Danio rerio: one gene and its partner. The protein of the gene in region 1 purifies or fractionates together with the protein of each later gene. This does not show direct contact. Links are inferred from orthologs where the notes say so. Each region holds a gene or a part of one and is shown in the gene's direction. Other genes may lie near its edges.

Region 1 (2,251 bases):
TACTACTCTGATCTATACTGCATGTGTGCTCCACACTAGAGCTCCTCAGGCAGGATGAGCTGTGTGGTTATAGTCTGTTGAGGAGATGATCAGAGCCGTGTGCTGGCTGATTACTGCCTGAGTTTGAGGGAGGAGCTTGTTTTGGAGGCGGGACTTGATGTGTATGGGTCATCTCTAATAAACAGTGTGTGTGTGTGTGTGTGTGTGTGTGTGCAGGAGCTGCCTGCAGTGAACGTGTCGTGGTCTGCTGACGGGCCGCAGCCGCTGGGCTTCATCCACATCTCGATGGCGGTGGCGACGGATCGAGGCCTGATCACGCCCATCATCAGAGACGCGGCGGATAAAGGCCTGCAGGAGATCTCCAGCACCGCTAAGGTGAAGAACAGGCCCGAACACATGTGCTCCTCACTCTCAACAACACACACAGAGGAGTGAGGAGGTCCAGCATCTGCTTTACGTCAGAATCCTATAGTCTGCATGAGCCGGGAGCTGCGGTTTTACCCTTATTGTGCTGCTGTTACCATAGAAACACGATATTTAATCGGTAAACAGTGGGCGTGGCTTGTTTGTTCTACTGCGAGCTGATTGGCTGTAGTAAAGTAGGCGTGTCATTCAGAGAGATGGCAGAAGGGTTTGGGGAGAGTTATTACAGCCTAACAGACTCCTCCTCCTCACCATTCTGTCTGTTGTCATAGCGATGACAAAACTGACAGCTGGAGGGGCGTGGTTAAGTGTGTTAGCCACGCCCAATACCTCAGACAGTCGTATTGCTGTGTGCTGACCTCCTGTGTGTGTGTGTGTGTGTGTGTGTGTGTGTGTGTGTGTAGGCTCTGGCACAGAAGGCTCGGGATGGTAAACTCCTGCCAGAGGAGTATCAGGGAGGATCCTTCAGGTGAGCGTCTGCACGGTGTCGTTCACCACATATCAGCATTCACTTACTCAGGAGCTTCTGGACCGTCAGCAGTGTGTCTCCTCTGTTGAACACTGAAGCAGATATTATAGGGAAGCTGAATCTACTGATGTCTGTAGTGAGAAAAACACTTACTGTAGAAGTCGATGGTTACAGGTCTCCAACATTCTTCAAAATATCTTCTTCTGTCTTCAACATCAACAAAAGCAACTCAAACAGCTGTGGAGAAGTGAACAGAGTGTAGATGATGACAGGATGATTTTTGTTTCCTTTAATTACAGCTTTGATCAATGAAACTGATCACTTCATCAATGATTTACCGTTCCAAAGTGTTCAGAGCAGCTGCTGGCTCCACCTGCTGGTCAAACTCTGCCAGTGCAGCAAACACTCAGGCAGAGCCACACACGTTTCAGGCACACACCATCTATGCAAACCATAGATGGTTACGAGCTGATGTTAATGTTATTAATGACAGACATCATCATCAATATATTTATATATGTATATTGTTAATAAATATCGTACACAATAAACAATAGTGTTTACTATTTCACAAATATGGCAATGGGGATCAATGTTTCTGATCGCCATTCAATATAACAGTGTGAAGAGTTTTCCATCAGTCGTCATTATTATATGTCAGAGTCAGTATAGCAGATATTTATTTGCTGACTGCTGTTTTCAGAGATATACACCATCTACATTGGACAGGTTTCATTTATATGAAGGATTCATTATAATGAAGGGAAAAGAGCCAGTTAATATGTATATAATAGATCTTTATATGTCATGCAAATCTTTTAATGAATGTAGAACACTATATTAATCTTGTACTCCAGTGATTGAATAGCATTTATTTCTAATAACTTTTTTATTAATGATTTCCCACATTAAACACTGGAGTAATTTATAGTAAGTAAAATATTGTTTTTAAATCATAAAGTGCTGGCAATTATAATTACAACATATAGTAATACAGACAAATTAACTGTTAATATATATATATATATATATATATATACATATATATATATATATATATATATATATATATATATATACACACACACACACACACACACAACAGTTCTGTCTGGTTCTCAAATCTGATTGGCTGAAAGCCGTGCGATATTCTGCAATATCAGAACTCTTACAGCCTCTTTACGGTTTGTGTATTACTCCGCCCACATACAGCCAGCAGAAAGCAGACACTCCACATCTGAAGTGTAAAAGATGCTTGCTCAGCTGTTTCACTGTCAGCTTATGATTTGAATCCAAGGCGGAAGAAAGTAGTTCCTCATACAAAAGGGGTTTTGAGACTCTCCATGTTTGATTTAGTTT
Region 2 (4,217 bases), on another chromosome or scaffold:
ATCAGACATACTGTGAAAATTTCCTGTCAAACATCATTTTAAAATATTTTTAAACGAAGAAAAAAAGTTTGAAGAGGGCTAATAATTCTGACTTCAACTGTAGATGAGCAATTATGTGCAAATGTCAACCTTTCCATGAAAGAAAATTAAGCTTTCACCAAAATACGGAATCCGTTTCAGGGTTTTTTGTGTAAGCAAGTATTTTACAGTACTTTAGAAATACTCAACACTGCTTGTCAATGTTTTCCAACTATTCTATTTGATTTACCAAAGTCACACAAGTGGCAAATTCACATCTGTCACATCCATAGCGACACTTTTTCCTCATAAATGTGAAAATACTTAACATAATAAAACCAATATTTTTTTGTTTTATAGACAGCAAACATGTCCTTTTGATTATCATTATTTATTTTGGGTTGTGCAGTTTAATTCACAGAATTGCTACAAAGTATCTTGTATACTGTAAACATCCATAACACGTTTATTTTCCTCTTTGAAAGTACAAAACATGTTCTAAACATGTTTTGTACTTTCAAAGAGGAAAATAAACGTGTTTTACAGATACTCATGTTTAAGATGTTTTCTGCTCCTTTAACTGGTCAGTCGTTCTAGAAAATATAAACAAAAGTTTCAATGTGTATATATATATATATATATATATATATATATATATATATATATATATATATATATATATATATATATATATATATATATATACACATACAGTTAGGTCCATAAATATTAGGACATCTACACAATTCTCACATTTTTGGCTCTATACACCAACACGATTTAAAATGAAACGAACAAGATGTGCTTTAACTGTACAGCTTTAATTTGACTGTATTTACATCATGGAAACCAGCCTGGAAATGGCCAAAACCCCTCAAAAACCAGGCTGGTCGACCAGCTAAAATCAGAAAATCAGCCTGGCCTGGTTTAAGCTGTTTTCCCCAGCAGTGTAGAAAAATGTTATAATTAAACTGTGTATATTAGAAATTATAAGAACTTAACTGTATATAATTGTTAATATGAACTATATAACTATATTAATAGCTAGTTTAATGTCTTTTAATACTTACAAATCATAAAATGACCTTATTGGTCCTATTTTAAAGCATATTGCAACTTGTTTAAGACTTTTTCAACATGTCCCCGCACCATATTTCAAAAGTGCCCAGTTTACATTCAACAATGAAGCAACTGATTTAAAAATCACAGATTTTTGGTTTCTATAAAAAGATTCTTCTCTTGCCCTTGGACGCGGAGTGACAGTCTGACGGCAACTTCCGCTTCAGTCATGAATCCGCCACTCTGATTGGCCGCTTTCCTCGCGTTTCCTGTTCTGCTTTTACAACGCGCTCTCTGATTGGCCGCGGCCGCTGGGATGACATGCCCGCCTCCGTACAGAGGACAGTGAAACATGGCGTCTCTGAGGTGTTTCCTGCGCTCGGGGAAGGTATTTATGTGTGAATATGAGCTGTTATCTGCATATTGCGGTGGTGTTTGTTAGATGAGAGTGTTTAGACTGATGTTGGCGGTGTATTTGTGTCTCAGAGTGCCGTTTCAGCGGTTTTGCGGCGGGAGTTTCACAGGACTCCTCCGGCGGCGGTGCAGGTCAGTGATGCTGCGACTCTCACCTTCAGCAGATGCTGCATCATTTAAAACAATAACACATCTGAAAAATGAGCTTAAATGTGTATCATATTAGTATGTTTTAGACAACATATTAAGTATTAACTGCTCTCGACGATACTAACAGTAACAGCATGTTTTTGGGTGTGTACACAATGACTATACCTCGGTGTTTTGAGTAATTACTATGTGATAATTGATACTATATTAATAATAACGTTACTAGACAGTGGTAAGGACGTAAGTTAGTGTTTGTATATTATGTTATTTTAAAGCTAAAATGGGTTATCCAAAAATGAAAACTTACTTTTTAACTCCCCACAAAGGGGTTTCAAACGTTGAACACAAAAGAAAGTATTACAGGAAAAAAACTTTAAAAATGCTGGTTTTAACATTTTTCAAAATATCTTCTTTTATGTTTCAAAAGAAAAAAGAAACAGCACATTGACTGAGATATTTACTATGTTTCAGTGAACATTCTTTCTTTGGTAATACACAGTTGTAATGCCACAATGCTTTTGCATTTACCAATGTAAAGCTATATTTTACACTTTATAAGTACCATAGTATTTTCTTAGTATTTTTGACATTTAGCAAGACTTTCTTTGTTAATATACAATGTAATTTCACTTTGTGCACTATGGTAAGGTCATATGTTGTTTGTATGCTGAGAGTGCAACATCTTTATTGTTTGTTTTGGCCATTTACCGTGCTTCATTGAACATTGCTTGGTAATTTACCATGGCTATGATGTACTTTATATATACACACACCATGTTTTTTTATGTTTACCATGGCATTTTAAACTTTGACCTTGTTTTGTTGTATTATCAAATTTGTTCACATATACTCCAAATCCAAATATTTATTATCCATGAAAATACATTATTTCTGTGTTTATCGTTATCATGGAAACGGTTTGCTAAAATTACCATGCAATATTTTTTTTCCATTTGCACCATGGTAGTTTAAGGGTATGTTTATTTACATACCATGGTAATACTATGGTATTTTCAACGCATATCCTGTTTCAGTGAACAACCTTTTTGAAAAATACTATGCAGGGTTCAACGCTAAGGATTTTTTCTACTGGGCCAATCGGGCCAGAGGTTGAGATTTTTACTTGCCCTGCCAAAGTTTTCACTGCCCCCACCAAAAAATAAAAAAGTTAATTGCTATTTCTAAGCCACATATTTTAAATAAAAAAAAAAAATTTTTAAGTGGCAAAATAATATCTGTGAAATGTAGAATTTAAACATTTTAAAAATGTTAATAAAATATAATGAGCAAAATTCAAGATTTTATGCAAACAAAAGAGCAGTATTGAAAATGTGCTGGTATTTTATTGCAATTCTAAATTATTTTTATAAGATTGCTAAACTGAAGACAAATATTTTTTTTTTTCGTTGAGATTCTTAATATTGTACCCATGTGATTGTCTGCTTCCAAGACTTTAGAAACAGACGCTTTCTTTTAGCCTCATAGTTTGATGTTGCAGCCATATTTGCACTGTACTGGTTGTTACCAGGGGTCTGTTCTTCGTACGTGGATTACTCAGTTAGCTGGATTTGGATATTGACGATTTAACACGATCCAGGATCGTTTCGTTCTTCAAAGCTGATCCGAGAGTTGTTGTCATAGCAACAGTTCTGCTAGCTTAAACCTGATCGGGAGCAGGTTCAATTCATATAAACAGGATAAGATTGGCTCAGTTCAAGCAAAGATAATACAGAAAGTATGTTCTGAATTCTGATATTTTCTTACAGTATAGTTATGTACACTTGGGAAAATGGTACATATTTTTTAACTATATATATAAAGTTATAGTCATTAATAAAATAAATAAAGTTATACATATTAATAAAACGTATGCAATCTGCACCCTCGAAATGAAAGTACAAAAACTGCCACCTGGTGGTGCAAAGAGAAAACTTATTGATATGAACTTTTTAGATCACTTTAGTACAAATTGTGTATAATAGAAATGCACAGTATGTGACTTTTTTAAAGCAATAATACATTTATGCAGTCATAAACATGTTTTGACAGTTAATATGCCAGTGATTTGATGCTTCACAAAAGTTGCAGATGCCTTTACCAATATCAAAATGCTTTTGTAAACAACCAGTTATTCTTTACACAGATTAAAAAAACAGCTACTATAATAAAGGAAATCTTTTCTAAATGTAGAACTAAATACATTGATTTGCATTGAAAAACATGATGAATACTCTTTACACATGAAAGTGTAAAGCCTGCAGCTCACAACTAATGTGGAAGGTTATTGCATGTCATATTTAACAAGCCGTTTACTGCTAATTTGATGTAATTTTGCTCACATGGATAATTGAATATTAATCAGATGATGTCATTACGCTGCTGTGCCGTCAGCCAATCGTTGCATTGCTGATCATGATTTCGAGGATCGATAGATCTGTCCTTCATAACACATGCAGCGATCTCAGATCAGTTCATCCAGACATTCTAATCTGATTCGCGAACTTGTTTGAAGAACCAAATTAGCGAGAGATCAGTTATCAAGATTAAAAGATCCAGGATCTGCCAAATCATCTTAG

Evidence for each region. Proteins that work in one complex are often made in the same cells at the same time.
Region 2: the proteins of pdhx (region 1) and pdhb purify together in Homo sapiens (affinity purification with mass spectrometry; 4 studies listed by BioGRID and IntAct, counting the BioPlex papers as one, with this or other methods). This does not show direct contact. The link is inferred for Danio rerio from reciprocal best matches to the Homo sapiens genes PDHX and PDHB.

What each region holds. Positions count from the first base shown.
Region 1 is NC_133200.1:40,153,115-40,155,365, reverse strand, and holds part of pdhx (pyruvate dehydrogenase protein X component, mitochondrial), read left to right. Parts: intron 1-216; coding exon 217-375; intron 376-827; coding exon 828-892; exon of another isoform or gene 893-984; intron 985-1,045; exon of another isoform or gene 1,046-1,129; intron 1,130-1,230; exon of another isoform or gene 1,231-1,334; intron 1,335-2,251.
Region 2 is NC_133197.1:9,846,491-9,850,707, forward strand, and holds the start of pdhb (pyruvate dehydrogenase E1 component subunit beta, mitochondrial), read left to right. Parts: upstream 1-1,417; 5' UTR 1,418-1,429; coding exon 1,430-1,465; intron 1,466-1,563; coding exon 1,564-1,623; intron 1,624-4,217. UniProt on the Homo sapiens protein: The pyruvate dehydrogenase complex catalyzes the overall conversion of pyruvate to acetyl-CoA and CO(2), and thereby links the glycolytic pathway to the tricarboxylic cycle.